Sus scrofa: one gene and its partners. The main gene of each other region encodes a partner of the protein of the gene in region 2 in a complex. Links are inferred from orthologs where the notes say so. Each region holds a gene or a part of one and is shown on either strand. Other genes may lie near its edges.

What was found.
Region 1: LAMTOR1 (region 2) and LAMTOR5 share a complex: the UniProt entries of both Homo sapiens proteins name them as parts of the ragulator complex. The link is inferred for Sus scrofa from reciprocal best matches to the Homo sapiens genes LAMTOR1 and LAMTOR5.
Region 3: LAMTOR1 (region 2) and FNIP1 share a complex: the UniProt entries of both Homo sapiens proteins name them as parts of the lysosomal folliculin complex. The link is inferred for Sus scrofa from reciprocal best matches to the Homo sapiens genes LAMTOR1 and FNIP1.
Region 4: LAMTOR1 (region 2) and LAMTOR2 share a complex: the UniProt entries of both Homo sapiens proteins name them as parts of the ragulator complex. The link is inferred for Sus scrofa from reciprocal best matches to the Homo sapiens genes LAMTOR1 and LAMTOR2.
Region 5: LAMTOR1 (region 2) and FLCN share a complex: the UniProt entries of both Homo sapiens proteins name them as parts of the lysosomal folliculin complex. The link is inferred for Sus scrofa from reciprocal best matches to the Homo sapiens genes LAMTOR1 and FLCN.

Annotation. Positions count from the first base shown.
Region 1 is NC_010446.5:109,721,486-109,725,471, reverse strand, and holds the start of LAMTOR5 (ragulator complex protein LAMTOR5), read right to left. Parts: upstream 2,809-3,986; 5' UTR 2,678-2,808; coding exon 2,472-2,677; intron 1,599-2,471; coding exon 1,537-1,598; intron 1-1,536. UniProt on the Homo sapiens protein: As part of the Ragulator complex it is involved in amino acid sensing and activation of mTORC1, a signaling complex promoting cell growth in response to growth factors, energy levels, and amino acids.
Region 2 is NC_010451.4:6,677,267-6,681,304, reverse strand, and holds the start of LAMTOR1 (ragulator complex protein LAMTOR1), read left to right. Parts: upstream 1-1,237; 5' UTR 1,238-1,411; coding exon 1,412-1,453; intron 1,454-4,038. UniProt on the Homo sapiens protein: Key component of the Ragulator complex, a multiprotein complex involved in amino acid sensing and activation of mTORC1, a signaling complex promoting cell growth in response to growth factors, energy levels, and amino acids.
Region 3 is NC_010444.4:134,090,607-134,094,671, reverse strand, and holds the start of FNIP1 (folliculin-interacting protein 1), read left to right. Parts: upstream 1-1,263; 5' UTR 1,264-1,403; coding exon 1,404-1,495; intron 1,496-4,065. UniProt on the Homo sapiens protein: Binding partner of the GTPase-activating protein FLCN: involved in the cellular response to amino acid availability by regulating the non-canonical mTORC1 signaling cascade controlling the MiT/TFE factors TFEB and TFE3.
Region 4 is NC_010446.5:93,972,756-93,976,725, reverse strand, and holds the start of LAMTOR2 (ragulator complex protein LAMTOR2), read left to right. Parts: upstream 1-1,164; 5' UTR 1,165-1,372; coding exon 1,373-1,440; intron 1,441-1,746; coding exon 1,747-1,909; intron 1,910-3,970. Other genes in the region: UBQLN4 (ubiquilin-4), read right to left, coding at 139-246. UniProt on the Homo sapiens protein: As part of the Ragulator complex it is involved in amino acid sensing and activation of mTORC1, a signaling complex promoting cell growth in response to growth factors, energy levels, and amino acids.
Region 5 is NC_010454.4:61,039,191-61,042,551, reverse strand, and holds part of FLCN (folliculin), read right to left. Parts: intron 3,038-3,361; coding exon 2,946-3,037; exon of another isoform or gene 1,860-2,945; coding exon 1,669-1,859; exon of another isoform or gene 724-1,668; coding exon 610-723; intron 35-609; coding exon 1-34. UniProt on the Homo sapiens protein: Multi-functional protein, involved in both the cellular response to amino acid availability and in the regulation of glycolysis.

The DNA of each region.
Region 1 (3,986 bases), on a different chromosome or scaffold from region 2:
AATCCTGTGAAATTGGATTGTTATGATCATTATACAACTACAGATGTGATAAATTCATTTGAGCAATAAAAAAATAAATTTATATATATTTTTATTAAACAGTAATTGATTTACAATGTCATGCCAATTTCTGCTGTACAGCAAAGTGACCGCACACACACACATTTCTTTTCTTATATTATCTTCCATCATGGTCTATCCTAAGAGATTGGATATAGTTCCCTGGGGTATACAGTAGGACCTCATGGTTTCTCCATTCTACATGTAATAGTTTGCATCTACTAACCCCAAACTCCCAGTCCATCCCACTCCCTCCCTCCTCCCCCTTGGCAACCACAAGTCTGTTCTTTATGTCTGTGAGTCTGTTTCTGTTTTGTAGGTAGGTTCATCTGTGGGACCTTGAAAGTTTCTTAAAGAAATTAATTTAGTTTTAGATTTCCATACTTGAATCTCAACCTTTCCATCTGTAAACCTGGCAAGCACCTCAAAAAAAAAAAAAAAAAAATCTCCCTTTTCTTCCAACTAACTGATTTGTGTATAAAACCTGAGTTACACAGACTAATTCTTTCAATTACCCTCCCTGCAAAAATTCAGAGCTTTAAAAAAATCTTGCAGAACAGAAGAGTAGTGAGCAGGGTGTCCTGGGTTTACTAGTTCTGACATTAATTAGCTGAAGCCTCCCATTGTTTACCTTTCTGGATTTCTTTCCTCATCTGCAATTTGTTACTATCTGTTGAGCATCATGTCTGGGTTCTGTGCTGAGTGTTTTACATATTTTATATGATCCTATATTATTGTGATGTAGAGGCTTTGGGGCCAGACTCAAATCCTAGCTCAATCACTTACTAGTTGTATGACCCTGGTCCAGTTACTCAACCTCTGTGCCTCAATTTCTTTATCTACCTCATAGGATTGTTACAAGGATTAAATGACTTGATATGTGGAAAGTGCTTATAATGGTGCCTGGCACATAGAGCTCAGTAAGTGCAATTCCATAATAATAATTATTATCAAACAACAACCCACTACAGAAACTGAAATTCGGAAAGGTTCTTTTTGGTCCAGGTTCACACTAGTAGTACAGGGGAGGGCTGGGGGTTGAACCTAGGTGTGTCTGAGCTTGCACCCCTCATTTTTACTGCCTACTTACTGTTCAGTGAAGTTGAACTAAAAAATAACACCATCCATCTGGCAGGGTTACTGGGGAAATTTAGCAGTCCCAAAATACATTCAATAAATGGTAACTGCTGTCATTATCTGAAGTCCTTTCTAGACTCTGTTTAGAATGATTCAAATACTATTCTAGAAGAAACAACTATGTAGTGCTAGAACTGCAAGGGACATCTCCACCTTTATAAGTATCAACTGAAAACATTCAGTTTTCTAATTTTGCTATTGGGAGATGATCTCTATTTACAGAAAAGTCCCCCAAAAGTGGCAGGGTGGCAGGAAATGCAAACTAGAGAAAGCACCCTAGGCTCCCAGTCAACATCAAGTGCTGTGCAATCCCTGGAAGGGCTGTTGTCAGATACTTACATCCCAGATTGAGTCCTTGTGAATCTGTGCACAGGACTCCAACAATGGATGGATTCTTCATTCTAATTCCAGGGACACAGGAAGAAAGAAGCAAATGATGTAGGAAAAATGGATTTAAATATAACACACACAGGCTTTCTATGTACCCAGCACTGCTGTTAAGTGCTTTAAATCAGTGTTAGTCTTTTTTCTTTATCCCTCATCCCTACTCCAAGAAAAATTACATTAAATCATAATAAGCTAACTTTAATGATGGTTAAACTAATTTCTCTCTGATGAGAGAAAAGACTGCCAGGTACTGCTAAGCTTTGGAGGGCTACAAACGTTGCAATAGCTAGGATTTTGTTGCCCTCGTTAAAAATATGTATTTTAGCCTACTCTCTCACTTGAAAGAACTGCTGAAAAGCTAACTAAAACTGGTTGCCCCATGGAGAGGAAGTGGGAAGCTGAGCGGCCCTGATGCAAGGGAGGTGTCTCCCTGTACGCCGTCTTAAACTTTTCTAATTTTGGATTTTACGTAGACACTATCTGTTCGAAAAATTTAAAGGATGTCTTTCATCTTCTTGAGCACCAAATAACTGGTTACACCAGAAGGAGGTACGCGTGTGTGTTTACGTTTACACTGAAGATACAGGTGGTAGGTACCTCCTTCCCCCAAATGAACTCGGTTCCTAAAACTCCTAAAGAACGGCCCCGCCCAAACAATTTCTACACGACAGGCGGGATTTGGGCTCGGACCCGGGACACTTGTTCCGGAGGGAGTGTGCGGAGCACCGGCGGGATTTAATTCCGGGTTACCCTCCACTCCCATCGGCGGCCCGGGGAGAGAACGTCCCCAAGAAGCCCAGCGGGCAGTCACAGCTCGCGCCTTCTGTTGCGCTCAAGGACAGGCCCGCCGCGAACCCAGGACAGGCCGACGTGGCCACATTACTTACGTGTCCTCCAAGTGCTGCTCCAAGGTTGCTTCCATCCCGCCGCCGTCCGCCGGGCGCACCACCCACGGTGGGTCTTCTCCTAGGAAACTGGTCTCCGGCTCCGCTTGGTCAGTCACATGATGCGAGCAGGACGCGGACCTGGACGGCGCCTCCAAAGGGACAAACTTCGTGGCGCAGTCTCGGCGTTTTCTCCGGGATGATGTCATTACGCGCCCTCTGCCGCCGCGAGCTGGGCGGGGTTCTGCTGCCTGGGGTGCGACCCGCGAGGGGACCGCGCGGGATGTACCCCCGGGAGGGAGGTCTGTAGTCTTCCCTTGGAGCCAGCTTCCTGGCCTGTCCCTTTGTCTCCGCCGTACAGACCTTTGGATTTCGATTCCACCGACTCCGAGAAGTCGGGCCAGGTCTGGTTGAAGTTTTACAATAATCCGGCCGGCCCCGCGGGGTCCCATCCAGGTGGTAGGGCAGGGACAGACAAGAGAGACACAGGATTCCGATGAAGGGTTCCCCAGGCTTGGAGGGACAAAGAGAGGAAGGACAAGGGACTAGAGGATGAGGCGGAACAAAATTAAAACCCCAAGCTGGGTAGGGGGGCAAGTGTTGCGATTTTTCGAAGACGTTGGTTCTTCCTCTTTGGAGAGGATTCGGGAACGTTTGAGAAAGAAGGTGTCATTGTAATAAAGACTGGGTAGGACCACTTAAAAAGTAACCTTTAAAAAAAGTTAATTACAAAAGCAGTTATAGGGAGTTCTGGTCGTGGCTCAGTGGCTAACGAATCCGACTAGGAACCATGAGGTTGTATGTTCGATCCCTGGCTTGCTTAGTGGGTTAAAGATCCGGCGTTGCGGTGAGCTGTGGTGTAGGTCGCAGACCCGGCTCGATCCCACGTTGCTGTGGTGGCTCTGGCGTAGGCGGGCTACTACAGCTCCGATTCGACCCCTAGCCTGGGAACCTCCATATGCCGCAGGAGCGGCCCTAGAAAAGACATAAAGACAAAAATTAAAAAAAAAAGCAGTTGTAAAAATAAGGAAAGAAAGCCCACCCATTGTCTTTGTCCGGAGATGACTGATAAGGCCTTGGAGAATATTCTTTCCGCCGGTTGGTTGTCTTTGCAAATGTATACTTTGTGTTATTGTTTTTTCTTTTTTAAAGCTAAGTTGACACACATATTGTACAAACAATTCTGTAGCTTATCTTTTTCACAAAATTTAGCAAAAATGTCTTTCTGACATAAAGTTCATTTACGGCATTTGTAATACTTAGAAAATATTACATATTATAGCTTAACCAACCCCTTATTAATGTACAGTTAGGTTGCTTATAGTTTTGTTGTTGTCGTTGTTATGTTTGGGTTTTGGCTGTGACAAATGCTGGATGAATATTCTTATGGCCAAATATTTGTGCAGTTTAAATTTTTTCTTATAGTAAGTTACAAGAATGGAATTATTGGGTCAAGGTTTTAAAGTCTTTTAATATACACTTACAAGTTACCCCCCAGAAAGGTGGTTCCAGTTTACA
Region 2 (4,038 bases):
AGCGCACAAGACAGGAGGGGGCAGTCCTCGGGGTGGGGAGGAACTCTGAGGCAGGCTGGACCTGCTCTCAATTATTGATGCTGAGGCTGCTGCTGTCACCTGAGAAGAGCAGGTCAAGTTACCAGCCCCAGGGACAAGCTGGAGCTGCCTCTTACCCTTCAGGAGCCTTCAAAGAACTTATAGAACTCCATGGTCTTGATTTGAAGGGTAACAGAGCTCCTGGGTTTGGGGATCTCTCCTTCAACCCCTTGGTTCAGGACAGAGTATGGTGTGAGCCAAGTTAATGGGAAGTTGTAATTTATTCATGAATTCCAAATTCTAAGCAAATGCTGAGGCTTAAGTCACCGAGAAGAGTCAGATCCTGCCCCCTGTCCCCGGGAACCCCACCTTTGGTAGAAGAGACTGACACAGGAACAGAGAACATAGTACAATGTGATCACTAGAACGCATGCTCTAACCACAGGGACTTCTGGCAGGCCCACACGGTGGGGGAGACAGCGTGCTAGGCCACGTGTGCAAAGTCCAGGAAGTCAACCAGGAAACAGTGTTTCCCCATGGTTGGTGAGACATTCACCCCATCCCTCCTCCACTGTCCCAGGCCTGGAGTGGGTGTCTGGCTCTGCAGAACCTTGCATGACAGACTTGGACTTGTCTTCAGAGTCCAAGGGAAGATGTGGCATGGTTCCAAGAAGAGCACTGATGATGTGCTTTGTGTGTTAGATTACTAGTACTGCTCTACAAAGGCAGCATTGAAGAGAAGTGCCCGACGGCCAGATCAGTGACACGGGCTGTATCTCCTCTCCCGGGATTGAGCTCCACTCTGCGTTGCTTGTGAAGGTATAAGTTTCCTTCTTCCAGTAAGTCTCGGACCCCCAGTCCACGTGGGAAGCCACACCCCACACCCCACGTTGGAAGTTACGCCGGGCAACCGGGGCCTATGGATGTGTAACCACATTGGGCGCTCTTTGAGCGTCGAGTCTGCATCCCCTCGCCCCTCCAATGGCATTCGGTATGAAATCGCCTAATGGCCCACAAAGGGAGCCTGGGGGCCCCCTCCCCGGACAACCCACGTCGCACAAGGAAGGGCCTCTCTCCCGGGCAGGGGAGGTCTCCAGCTGAGACCGCGAAGAGGCTGAAATCATGTGATTCACCCCTCCCGTTCCTGGCGTCACGTGTCTCACGGCCTGTCACGCGGGGACGCCTCCCCATTGGCTGGCAGTGATCACGCGCTGGGGGCGGGGCCGGATGCCGGGGTTCCGGCGGCAGCCGCGGCGAGCAGCAGCTCTGGAAAGGGGTTGGCGCGGGACTGTGGGTCTGTGCTGGATGCAGGCGCGGGTCATGTGACCGGAAGGGCTCCTGACGGACGCCGTCCCTGCTCGGCGCGGCCTGAGCGCCCGGCCCTACCCCCGCCATGGGGTGCTGCTACAGCAGCGAGAACGAGGACTCGGACCAGGTGCGGCCGCCGCGGGCGGGGCTCGGGAGCGAGGGCTGAGACCCCGGGGCACGGGGCCCAGAGAAAAGCCTGCGAAAGAGGGTCCGCCGGACTGTGGGGCTCCCCGAGTACGGAGGCCCGGAGGGGACAGCCTACAGAGGAGACGCCGGGCCGGGCTCCTACCCCCTTTAAAGCCCCAGTGCTGTCGGCACAGCCCCCGTGTTGGGGTGGCAGGCCGCCGCCTCTCCTGCTCGCCCCCGCCCGTTCCATTTGCCCCTACCTTGAGACCTTTACAACTTCAGGGATCCTCAGCCTAGGTCCCGGGGAAGCGCTCTCTTCCCAGGTTCCTGTGCCCGCTTCGTGTTTGTATTAGCGAGCTTTGTGAATCCGTTGTAGAGGTGGGTAAGCCGAGGCGCTAAGTCAGATTGAGCTGATGTGAGTCAGGAATCGTGTATAGACTCTGAATCCCTGGAGTTGAAGAAGGAAGGTCACTGCTAATCTGAGAGCAGAGAAGGCCTCTGGAAATTGGTGTCGTTTGAGTTGGTCAGTGAAGGGTTTAATAGACACGGTGAGGACTTGGGGGGGCGCGGCGTGTGGGAAGTTGGAAAGCCACAGATCACGTTTAGCTTCGGCTATGCTGAGGCTCGGGGAAGAGAGGTAGGACAGGGAACTCCGTTTGGCCTCCCTCAGTGCAGCCCCTGCCTGGAGCCTGAAGGCTCCTCTAGGTAGAGGGGGGCTTGTCCTGGGGAGTTGGGTGTAGATCTGGTTCCCTTGGCAGAAAGGATTAGGCTGGGAGGCACGTACAGTTTTAAATGCTCCCTCTTCCCCTTGGTGTATTCTCTCCTCTCACTTCTTGCCACACTTTAAACCCTGCCCTGCCTGACCTCCTTTGAGGAGGGGCAGACCTTTTCAAGGATGAAGTCTCACGTTGTTGGCCCCTTGCTTTTTTGTGGCCTCTAAGCCTGGAGTCTCCATTTCAACAGACCCAGAAACAGCAGGAAGGTTTCAGCAAGTGGAGTAGATGGTCACAGAAATGGATTACATCACTGGTACATGGGAAGTAGGTCCTTCTTCAGTGATTCACATGAACCTATTTGGGGTCAAGGACTTAAGCTTGGGAAACCACCATTTGTATGGGAGGCATGGGTGGCTCCTGGGCCTCATTAAGTCTCCGGACACCCCGTGGACGTACGCTCATGTTTCTGTGCCTGTGCTAGGTGTGCCTCAGGGCTGTGCCTCACAACTCACTGCAGGCAGCCTGTTAGGAATAGGAGACAGTGGCCCAGTCTACTGGGAAAACTGTGGCCTAATGGGAAATTGGCTCTTCAAGCATAGTGTGGACTCTTGCAGGGAATGAGTCAAAGGTTAGTGCTTTATGAGAAACCAGCTTCTAGTGGCAGCTGATGCTCTCCTGGTTCTCCCCCTCCCCTGATGGGCTTTCACTGCTGTTTCTAATTCCCAGAGATGGTGCTTGATCAGTCCTGGGCGATTTGAGGCCTCATGTGGCAAAGGTTTGCTTGCCTGGTCTGCAAGCCGTCACCATTCACTGTCCCCTCTTTCAGGTCTTGGGCAGGCCCCTTTCCTACTCTCATTTCTGCATCTTTGTTACAATAATAAAAAGAAATAACACGTTACAGTTTTCAAAGGCCTTTTACGATGCTCTCACTTGACTCTCTCCGAACCTCTGTCATCAGGTCATGTCTATTTGAAAGTGGAAAAAAAAAAGTTCAGACGGGCTGAGTGATTTAGCCACGGCTACACAGCTGAGAAGTGCCACAGCCAAGGTGTCATGATGCCAAGTTGCGTCTTTATCCATTGCGCCAAGCTGTGATTCTAGCTTTTCCCACAGACCAGGTGGCCAGTCACAGGCAGGCCACATGTGTGTCTGTGCTGCAGTAGAGAGTGAGACTCTGGACGTCCAGGTTGACAGTGACCCAGGGACAAACGGTGGCGTGAAAAACTACCCCCCCTGCTCCACTCACCCTCTTGTGGGTGGCGTGATGTTATTTGTTCACTCTGATGGCGGTAGTATGGCCTCTTCCAGGAGTCTAGGTTTCAGGAAAGCAACCTTGTTTTTCTTTTTTTGTTTTTTGCTTTTTAGGGCCGAACATGCGGCCTATGGAAGTTCCCAGGCTAGGGGTAGAATCAGAGCTTCAGCTGCCGGCCTACACCACAGCCACAGCCGCACGGGATCCTTAACCCTCTGAGTGAGACCAGGGTCCTGCGTCCTCATGGATTCTAGTCGGGTTCATTCCTGCTGAGCCACAGTGGGAATTCTCGCAACCTTGATTTTGAAGGACCCTGGATAGGGGAGAAACTGCCCTGTCCTGCAGGAGGATCTGTCTGAACTGGGGCTGGGGGAAGAATGGGCACGTAGCAAGCCAACTCTGGCTTCATTATGTAGTCAGCTTTCCTTGGTTTAATTTTTGGCAAACATTTGGTCTTTCTAGCCCTTTAATACCCTGTGTTTTAGGGAGGGCGGGGTGTCTAGAAGTTTGGAGCTGATGAGGCAGAAGCTGTTGGAAACTGTGGACACAGGCAGCTCAGGGTTGAGTAGGAAGAGGCTGTGAAGGGCTGGTCCCGTGCAGGGCGGGGCAGGCGGGGCC
Region 3 (4,065 bases), on a different chromosome or scaffold from region 2:
GCTTTTAAAATTCTTGTAACATTGAAACAGCATGTTATGTTATATGACCACTGAAATTCTTTGAGATGTTCTGCCTATTATTTTCTTCATTCTATATAAGATCACCTATTTTATAGAATAAACTATAGCTGCAAATCAGTGCGAGTTAGTAGCCACTTGAAGAGACAATTTGATTTGTATGCCTAAAATGAAATTCTCAACTATTTTAAGCTAACCTTCCAAACCACATAGCAGTAGTTTCCTGACATCCCTGTCAGAGAATTGCCACCCCGCGGTACAAAATTCCTTATCCTGGAGGGGCAGCAGGTGAATGAATAGTGGTGTTGAAAACATCTAAGAGCAATATGACCCAAACCCTGATAAATTTTGGATTAACCTACTTATTAGATTGTAAGATCATCTATGAGCAATGTTTTTCTTTTGAAAGGGTTCCTCCTATTAAACTCATTTGTTCAAATTCCACAGTTGCACTCTCTCTCCATACCTAGATATTAAGATTGAGCCTAAATCCTGAGCCTCTATGGCCAGCTCTTCCAAGAGGCTAATTCCTGGTACATCAGCGTTCGAGAAGCTATTGGAAACACGGAGGGCCGATGCGGGCAGTTTCTTGCCCAGGCCGTTTCTGCGGGGAGTACTGGCTTTGGCGAGTGTCTTAGCAGGGTCCTCAAGTGGACTGCATAAGCCAGCCCGGCGCTATCGAGCTCTGAGCTCATACCTCTCGCGGCCCAGCACGGTAGGGCCTACGGCCCTGGGTTTAAAGTCCAGGCCGTGCGGGGGTGGGGGCCAAGGGTACGCTCTCGCGCCTTGTCTGCTCCGGGGGCCGCGGTACTCTGCCAGGAGCAGATGGAGGTGTGAAGCCGCAAAGGCCAAGGAGGAGATGGCGGGGGAGGGTCGAGTACTCGTGGTGCCCTAAATCTCTCTTTGTCGTGGGTGCGGAGAACCTCTGCGCTCCAAAATGCCTGGCGTCGTCCCGGCGACACCCTGCCGTAGCCTCAGGTAGCAACCGAGAGCTTCACTGAGTAGAACCGGGACCCGCGCACACACCTCCTTCACTTCCCCAACCACCCGTCCGTTCCCCGCCCCTCCCCTCCGCGCACGCCCCGCTCCACGCACGCCCCGCCTCTTGAGCTGCCACGGGAGGCTATTCGGACGCCAGCCTATGGACGCCAGCCCCGCCCCGCGCCCCCGCCTTGCACCCTGCTCTGCGCGCCGCCACGTGATGCGGCTCACTGCCAGCCAATGGGCGCAGGCCTTGCCTCTCGCCCCGCCCCGCGCGCCGTGGCCGTTTGAAGTGACTAATTTCTGTCATATGACTGAGGCGCCTATGGGGGTGGCGGGGCAGCTCTAGGAGCAGGGGCCTGGCGAGAGCCTTGAGGAGCGACCCTGGCCTGGCCGTGGCCACCATGGCTCCTACGCTGTTCCAGAAGCTCTTCAGCAAGAGGAACGGCCTGGGGGCGTCTGGTCGGGATGCAAGAGACCCGGATTGTGCGTTCAGGTAGGCACTGCAGGGCGAGGGGCGCGAGGCCGATGGCCTGGTGGCCTCGGCTTCCAGAGGTGCTGGGGCTTTCGGTGTTCACGCTCGCGCGGTAGCGCCGCGCCAGGACCGGGATCTGAGCCGGCGGTCGGGAGGGGCCGAGCAGCTTTGTGCTGGAGTGTTCGAGCGAGCTCCTTTCTCCCCAACCCCCCAACCCCATGGCTGCCCCTTCCTCTTCGTCCGGGTGGGTTTGTTTACGCCTTGCTCGTCAGCCGCTCGCGGGTCTGCCCCACAGGACCGAGCATCGCGGCTGAGCTTAGGGTCCACACGCCTTCCTGGAGGCGCGTAGAGTTGGGCGCGGGCTGGATTGGACCTCAGCCGCCGTCCTCCGGGCGGAGTAGTTCTCCCCTCCTCCCCGTGCCCAGTCGTCCTCTGGGTGCTCCATTCCAGTTTGGTTGCTGTCGTGGAGAGAGCGGCACGTTTTGGCCAACCTTCCGAGTTTAGAGTAGGCTGTTTCAGTAGACAAGCTGCCATTCTTTCGCATTTCTTGTAAACCTAAATTGAAGGTGTGTAGATACCGGACCTAGTGGCCCTAATGTTACCGAAGGAGGGAGATACGTGAAACCTCAGAGGTTGTGGTTATTACTGACCAGAATGAGGCTGCGCTAAATCAAATGAAGCACAGCCATAGAATTGACCATCCTCTTGAGACTGTTACTAAAAATGAGTCTTTAAAGATTGAGACTGATAGCGACATATTTTGTGGTATTACAGGCTTTGTTAATTTTTGGTTGCAGTACCTGTTGCTGATAGGAAAACTTTAAAATTGTAAGACTTAATAATAAGCCTGAATTCCAGGTAAAATTTAGTTTCGAAACTTCTTTTGAAGATGAGATTATGTCTTCCAAACAGCCTTCATACTTGTTGCCGTGTGAAAGCTTGTGAATGTAACTAGGCTAAATGTCAAATATCACTCAATCTTGGTAGGGTAGCAAAGAGCCCAGTTGTACAGTAGTAGTAGGAAAAAATGAACATCTGTTAAATTTTGCAACACCCACAGTCTAAAATGACTGCACCACACTGGTTTAAAAGGTTTTGATAATCCTAAAATTATTCACTCTCGGTAATACAGGTCCCATTAATACATATTCAGTAAAGTAAAATTGAGGTATTAAATGGAAAGAAGTTTGACTTTTAGAGGAAGAAAAATGTAAATGGTGAACATCTTGGAACGGTGCTTCGAAAAGACAGTTATCTAGCTTTCGGTCCTTTCTACTGGGAAATAAATGTCTTGCCCTGTTCATCTAATGACTTTCTTTAAAGATTTCTTTGGTATTTTTATTTTGAAAAATGAAAGTGCAGTGTAGATCATACTACATTGAGCCATCTAGTAAGCCAAGGGTCAGTAGAAAGTAAGTTCAGGAGGGATATTAAAATATTTGAAGAGGCATTCTATTTCTGAGCAAAGATTCACTTTGGGGTACCCAAGTTTCCAAGCATCTCAAGTCATTGTTTTGAAAACAAAACAAAACTGTTTTTTGAAAATGTAAGTATTCTGTATGGTTGTGTAATACTACTTCAGAGTTGCTCAAGTGCTTTCTCATCGGTTATCTCATGTGATGTTTCACAACAACCTTGTGAGATAGGGCAAGTAGCAGTGTAGATAAATACATGATACTTCTTCCAGTGAAATTAAGAATTATGTGTAAGCACAATAACTGCAGAATAGTATGGAAGTTATTACTTTAAAAAATGTGTGGAAGTGTACATTTGAGAAGATGAAAACTAGTAACAACACACACCTAATAACTTGCAAATTTAATCAACCCAAGTTTTTTTTTAACATCTTCATTGAGCTGTAATTTACATGCAGTGAAATTGAGCCATTTTAAGTGTATAGTTATATGAATTTTGCTATATGTATTCAGTTGTGTACCCCTCACTTCAGTGAGGTTTTAGAACATTGCAACACCCCTAGAACCCCTCATGCCCCTTTTCTGTCGTTCCTTAACCCCTCCTGCCCAGGGCAATCACTGATCCGCTTTTTGTGTAATTACAAAGGTTTTGACTTTTCTAGAATCTTTTGTGTCTGGCTTATTTTAATTCTTGATGATTTTGACATTCATCCATGTTTTGCATTTATCAGTAGTTCCTCCCATTTTATTGCTGAATAGTTTTCCATTGTATAGGTACACCACAATTTATTTATCCATTCCCTGGTTGGGAAACATTTGGGTTGTTTTCAGATTTGGGCTATAAGGAACAATGCTGCTGTGAACATTTGTGAACAATCCTTACCCAGAAATAGGTTTTCATTTCTCTAGGAGTGGGATTGCTGGGTCATATGCAAAGTATATGCTTAACTTTTTAAAAAAATTGCCAAGCTTTCCCAAAATAGTTGTACCATTTGTATTCCCACTGGCAGTGTGTGAAGGTTACAGTTGTTCCAGATCCTCTGCAATAACTGATATTGTTAGTCTGATTTTTTTTATAAGCTTTTTTTTACGTTGTAAAAAATACCTGACAAAATGTACTGTTAACCATTTTAGAGTTTTGATTATATACATTCTAATGGGCATAGAAAATCTTGT
Region 4 (3,970 bases), on a different chromosome or scaffold from region 2:
CCCTCCCGCTTCCCCGAGTGCCTGCTGGGCCCCCGCCCTCCTCTCCCCGGCCCTCCCATACGCCCGACGGTCTCAGAGACACCCCCCTCTTCACAGACCACTCCTCCGCACCCCCCCAATCCCCACCACCCGTACTACCTCCTTGACCGAGGCTCGATCGCAGATCACAATTTCCTCCTTGTCCTTAGGGGTCTTGACGGTGACCCGAATCGGGGGCCTCGTCTCGGCCCCGCTCGGCTCCGCCATGCCGCCGCCGCCGCCGCCACCCGGCCGCCCGCCAGCCCGCCCCGGCTCCTCCTCCTCCCCGCCCGCCCGGCGGTGCTCGGCTCCGGCGCCTCCAACACTCCCCTCTCCCCTCCCCTCCCCAAGGCTTCACCGCCCCCTCCGGACCAGCCGCAGCCACAGCGCCCCGGGCGGACCGGGGGGGCCACTGCAGCGGGGTCCGCCCAGGGCCGAGCCCGGGGTCTGCAGCCTGGGCAGGGCCTTGCTGGGCGGCGGCCCCCAAAGGGGCTGCTCCGGACAGGGGCGGGAAGCAAACTCTCCGGGAGAGACCACCGCCCGTGGTAGCCGGTCCGAGTCGCGCTGAGGTGCCAACCCCCCGCCCCCGGGCCCAAAGCTACCCGCCCCCTCCGCGACTAACTCTTTCTCCGGGACAAAGGACTTTCTGTGTCGCCGCTTTATCTCCGTTCCCTATGATAACTGGTCTTTCTTGGAAAGCCCAAATCCTTTCCAGGCCTGAGGCTTCTCCCGACTTGGAGGCTGAATTTTCCACTTCTGGATATCTACCTAAAACCTCTTCTGTAGGATTGACTTAATTCCCCTGAGGGTAGCGGCCTCCAAGAAGTCTATTCAGTACAGTTCCAGAGACCTGGATTTTTGCCTGCATGGCCTTTCTGAGCCTATTTCCTCAATAGCATCTATCTCCTCATCTCACAGAATTATGCATAATGTAGAAAATTGCTTTGAGAAGTAACCCAAGGTATGCCTGACAAGTATAGGAATTTTGTTTTCTTTTAATTACTGAATCGTGGATTGTCAAGCAGATATGACTCCTCTGCCCGAGAGGGTTAAATGTCCTTCCAGTACTGCCACTATCCTTTTACTCCCGCTCTTTTCCCCCATAACCGCGTGGTCTCACTGGAAAGGCGAACTGTAGTTCCCAGGGTGCCTCGCGAAGCTTCGAGGAACTACAATTCCCAGCGCCCCCCGCGGTGAGGCGGGGTTGAGTCAGAACCGCACAGTCAGGCCAGGAAACTACAACTCCCAGGAGTTCTGGAGCCGGGCAGCTGGACTACGGGAAGCGGCAGGCGGAGGCCAGTTATAGGAAACTCCGGGATCAGGTTGTGAAAGCCCAGGGTTAGGAGCCACAGGCATGCTGCGTCCCAAGGCTTTGACCCAGGTGCTAAGCCAAGCTAACACTGGAGGTGTCCAGAGCACCCTGTGAGTGCGGACCGAGAGGCCGAGCGGCGAGCACTGGAGTGGGGCTGCGCGCGGCTCTCCGAGGGAGGGGTGGGGAAGGCTCTCTGGGAAGGGAGGAGGTGGCAGAGGGGGCAGCCTTTGGGTGAACCGGCGAGAGGGCCACTCTTGAAAGAGAAACTGACGTGCTGGGTGTTTGGGGCATGTTCTAGGACACACTCAACCCAGACCCTTGCTTTCTAGGAGCGCCGGTGGGCGAGTTGGGATGGAAAGTCAGGTATTTTACTCCCCATCCTGAGCACGTTGATATCCGTTCTGATGCTTTTCCAGGCTGCTGAATAACGAGGGATCTCTGTTGGCCTACTCTGGTTACGGGGATACGGACGCCCGAGTCACTGCAGCCATCGCCAGTAACATCTGGGCGGCCTACGACCGGAACGGGAACCAAGCATTTAACGAAGACAATCTCAAATTCATCCTCATGGACTGCATGGTATGGAGAGGGGAGCCATTTCCTCTGTCCCTAAGGGGACCCCCAAGGGGCACCCTGGACCCCATCCTGGATGGTTGGGGCCCAGGGACAGGATTTCTGGAAGATTACTAAGAGTTGGTCTGCAGCAGCATTTATAATAGGCAGGACCCTATGTATCAAGTGGTGATGAGGAAGGAGTATTGGACCCGAGGTCTGGCTGGGTTCTAGTCTCAGCCAGCCACTTGCCATTTGTGGAACCTTGGGTAAGTCACAAGCTTTTTTACCACATCTCCAGTGTGAAAATAATCCCCACCACCACATCACGCACACAGGGTTGTTGTGATCAAATGAAAGGGTAGGTGTAAACTGTAGAGTGATATGCAGACACAAAGTGTTGTCATCTGAGATTCTCAGACTCAGAAGCATGGCAAAGTGTCCAGACCCTAGTCCAGTTCCTTCAGTTTACAGAAAAAGGAGATAAAGTCCAGAAAGAGGAAGCGCCATTAGACTGAATTTCTTGGGAACAGAACCTGTCTCATTCACCTTTATATCTGTTCAGTTAACAAATTTTTAGGTCCTTGCAGTATTCTCAGGACCTGGGAAAAAAATAGCAAACAGGACAAACAAAAACTGCAGCCCTAATGTCTCATATATGCCTTAAAATAAGTAAAATATGTATGTTTGTAAAATCAGTTCATAAATATGTTTTGTAACATACATACATAAGTTTAAAAAGTAGTATGTGGAGTTCCCGTCATGGCTCAGTGGATTAAGAACTAGTATCCAGGAGTTCCCGTTGTGGTGCAGCAGAAAAAAATCCTACTAAGAACCATGAGGTTGCAGGTTCAATCCCTGGTCTTGCTCAGTGGGTTAAGGATCCAGCGTTGCCATGAGCTGTGGTGTAGGTCGCAGACTCAACTTGGATCTGGTGCATTGCTGTGGCTGTGGCATAGGCTGGCAGCTGTAGCTCTGATTATATCCATAGGCTGGGAACCTCCCTATGCTTCGGGCGTGGCTCTAAGAAGCAAAACAAAACAAAAAACTGGTATCCATGGAGATGAAGGTGGATCCCTGGCTGGCTCAGTGGGTTAAGTATCCGGCATTGCTGCAAGCTGCAGCATAGGTCTCAGATTCGTCTCAGCTCCCATGTCTGCTGTGTCTATGGTGTAGGCCAGCAGCTGCCACTCTGATTCCATCCTTAGGCCAGGCACTTCTGTATGCTGCAGGTGCGGCCCTAGAAAGAAAGAAAAAGTAGTATGTTAGGTATTGAAAATGCTGTGGAGAAAAAGCAAGGAAGTGAGAGAGGGACAATATTACTGCAAAGGGGACAAGTCATCATAGATCTAAAGGAAGCTGGCAAGCCATATGGCTGTCTGGGCGAAGAACATTTCTGACAGAGAGAACAGTAAGTACAAAGGCCCTGAGGCAGAGGCACAATGATGCCTGGTCAAGAATCAACAAGGTTGAAGTGGCTGGAGTAGCGAGAGAATGGGAGAGGTTAGTAGATGAGGCCAGAGAGGCAGGAGATGCAGCATCTGGTTCTAAGCACACAGTGGATATTTAGTGAAAGTTTTCTGAGCCAAACTGAAAAGTCCCCAAGAGTGAACTTTCCAGAAAGAATTGCCAGTGGAACTCAGTCAGCAGCCTCTTCCTTACTCCCTTAACCAAGGATGCCAGTTCAACTGATGACTCCTAACTAGTGATTCCTAGGTTGCCTGCCCTAGAACTGGTGATCTAAGGGCAATAGCTTTCAAGTGTTTTGACCACAGTGCAGCCATAATAAATATATTTTAAGTCAGAGTATCCCACTAAAATCAAAGTTTCCTAAAACAGTACTTTCCTTACTGTATGCGATGTACTTCATTTCTCTTTTTTTTTTCTTTTCAAAGCTGATCAGCCTTCTTAATTGAACTAGGGTCAGTTAATCCCTTCCTGTCTATTAGCACCCTCATCAACTAGAGTGGGATAGTTGAGAAGAGGAGAAACTGAGCTTCTGGGAGATTGAGTTTCCCAGGGTAACTTGGTTAGTAGGTGGCTGTGCTGAAGCTGGAATGGGCTCAGGACTCCATGTCCAAGGCTATG
Region 5 (3,361 bases), on a different chromosome or scaffold from region 2:
GGATGACGCGGACGCAGCCCACGGGCAGCATGGTCTGGGGGGACAGGGCGCCTCAGAACCGGCCCCGCCAACGCGGCCCCCAGGTCCCCCCAGCTCTCCCGCTGCTCTGACCTCAGGCGTCCGTCTCTCGCCTCACCCCCCAAAAGCCTCTAAGGCTCTGGAGAGGCCGGTTCACTCTGCGGCCTCGGGGGCCTCGGCAGGGGCTGGTGTGCACCCTCGCGCACACTCGCGCACACTGGCAGAGCCAGACCTGGGCCCGGCGCCCCCTCGGCCTCCGGGGAGGCAGCCACACCTCGCCCCAGGGGCTCTCGGCGAGCCCTGAGCAGCGGACGGCGGGGGCCCAGACCCGCCTCCCCGAGTGACGGCTTCTCAGAGGCCCTGGGCTGGGGGGCGCGGCCGCCGGGACGGTCAGCCACCCATCAGCACAGCGTGGACCACGGGCTGGAGTGAAAACCACGGACGACCGCCCTTGGGAGTGGTGGACACACGCAGACCCGAGACGCAGGCGCGACCCTGCGCCCGGTCTCTGCTGCGTCCTCACCCGGCTGTGTGAGACCCGCCAGGCCGACACTCCTGCCACGAAACACGTAAGAAGAAAGACCCGCTCACCCGGAGAACCTCGAAGGCTGAGTGGACGAGGTCCGCGTCTCTGCTCTTCCAGATGACCTGGTTCCCCATGAGCACGTGCCAGGCCAGCATGCGAAAGGACGGGGCCCCCAGCACCTGCAAGACACGGTCGCGGTCTCGCGCGCGAGCCTTCTTCCCGCCCCGGGGAAGGTGTCCGTGCGTCTGTCTAGAAACTTCCTCTGCAGCGAGAATGGAGACCGGTCAGGACAGGCAGCGTCTCCGGGAGGCCGGGTGAACCTGCCCGAGGCAGGAGGGCGCAGGCTGACCCCGAGGCTCCTGCGCACATTAACATCTGTTCCCCGACGCTGTTCTCAAAAACTTGAGGCAGTTAAGTGCTGGCTTTTTGTCCACTTCTCTCCTGCTCTACACGCTGAAGCTTTGCCAAATCACGTCAGCGCGAGCCGGCGGGATCAAAGCCTCCGGCTTTAACCCACGCGAGCGGCCGCATTGAGGGTGGATTTGACAGGCGGCTCTTTTTCATCCCGAGGCCCCGAAGACCACCTGCCCTGAGGTCAGTCTCCACTTCACTGTCCAGAAGAGAAACGACCCTTTTCTGACAGGTTCACGCTCGATGTCAAAGTCAACTCCATCTGACAAAAGGGACAGGCCGCCTCCGCAAGCGCGCCGTCCGCCCGCCCGCCCACCCGCCGGCCCCCGCCACGCGCTGCACCACAGGCTCCGCTCCTGGGCTTCACGGCCCAGGGCGCACCTGCGGCACTGGGGTGGGCACGGCAGGGGTCTCTCACTCCCTGTGAGAACGGACGCCGTTTTCAACGTGTGAGGCACCTACGCTGTGCGCAAACCCACGGTGCTGTTCAATTCCTTTAGAAGGGTCTAGAATGATGCATCGTGAGACGTCAACGGTAAGGCCTTTTCTGAAAGAAGCCGCTGTATCCTCACTGACATCCCAGAGGCCACTGCCACCCTCAGCCGCCCCCCAGGAAGTTCCTGCGTCTCCTGCACACGACAGGCCCGAAGGACGAGGCGCTGGATGCGGAGAAGCCGAGAGGAGGGGACCCGGCTCCCCTACCTGCCGCCTACCTGCCGCATGTGCCGCAGGGACTTGAAGACGGGGGGCTTCCGCGGCTGCCAGGCTCCACGGTCGGAGAGCACGGCCGGGTCCGGGGGGCGCTGGGCCAGCTCCCGGCCGCCCGCGGCCTCTGACAGTGCAGGGCCTTCCCCCTCCTCTGCGGCCTCGGGGCTGCCCCAGCTCTCCGACTCCTCTTCCAGGTCTGCAACACAGACGCCGACTCAGTCCCCGCCGCGCTGCCCTGGGCGCCGGCGTCCCCTGTGCCCTGCACACGGCCACCACGGCCCAAGGACACGCGTGGTTCACAGCGTCTTCTCTCCGCGTCACACGCAAAGGGCCTCACGAGTGCCCTCGAGCCAGGATGTCACGCAGCTGTGTCCCACCCAGCGTGCGCTCTGAGCCCCTCTGCTCACCTTCGCGGCCAAACACAGTCCCAGTCCCGAGAGTGAGCCCCGCACGCGGGCGTCCCCTCCCCCGACACGCACGCCCGGCTCCCCGCGTGAGTACATTTTGACGCAGGCCGCCCTCGCCGTCTTCACGGGCCGGGAACTTTCATCCCCACTTAGAGGCCATCCCGTGTGGCCACAAATCCGGAGGCGAGGCTGTGTCCTGACCAGGTCCTGCTCTGGCTGAACCAGCTGCCCCCCACACGACGCAAGTCCCCCGACTCCAGGAATAACCTGGGAACAGCTCCAGGGCGTGCTGCCAGTCACCTGCACAACTGCGCACCGGACGCACCCAGAGAGGCTGGGGACCGAGCCCTGGATGTGCACCGCCGGAAGCCGCCTCACCGCGGAGGGGAGCAGCGCCCCCGGGCCGGGCCAGACAGAGCGGCAGACCAGGAGCCCAGGGAGGGCGGCCCCAATGCCGAGAGGCTCGGGAGCCACCACGTGCAGTGACGTACGATGTTCTACTGTTAAAACGCAAAGAACTGGGGTCCCTGGTGGCCCGGTGGTTAAGGACACAGCTGCTGCGGCTTGGGTTCGATCCCCGGCCCGGGAACTTCTGTTTGCCACGCAGCGGCCAGAAAAGGGCAAAGGATGCATCACCGTCAGAAAGGCCAAGCGGCTGCTCACGTCACACAGGGACGCGAAAGCTCCAAGCCGTCCTGAGTCTCTCCCGAGCGACAGCCGACAGCCCTCGCCAGTGGCCGTCAAGGAAAACGAGACAGGAAACGGCGAGAAAGAGGCGAAGCGCGAAGAGCCAGCTTCTGCGATGGCTTCCCGCTGGGTGGCGGGGTGCAGACGGCCCCGCGGCCCCAGCCCCGGCAGGCGCGGCGCCCGCTCACCTGCGAGCTGCTCCATCTGGACCAAGGTGTCCTCGGTGGGCGCGCCTTCCAGGAGCTTCTCGGTCAGCCGGCTGCCACACGCCTTCAGGAGCCTGCGGAACAGAGCGTCCCTGACGCGCCTTCCCCGGGGCAGAACTGGACCAGGGGCAAGCCAGCCTCGCGCCCCGACTACGGCTAACGGGAAGCACGGCTGTGAGAGAAGGGGCTGAGCAAGCCCCGAGCGGACCCTACAGCACACGTGGCCCAGGCCTCCAACCAAAGGCAGGAAGTCGGGGTGGCGGGGTCTAGACGGAGAAGCCTGCCGCACGGTCCAGCGCCTGTGCGGGGCGCTGACCCCACCACACAGTCCGCCCAGTGGCAGGGCCCGCAGAGGGACCGCGGCCTGGGCTGTGTGGCCTTATCGGGCCGCTTCACTC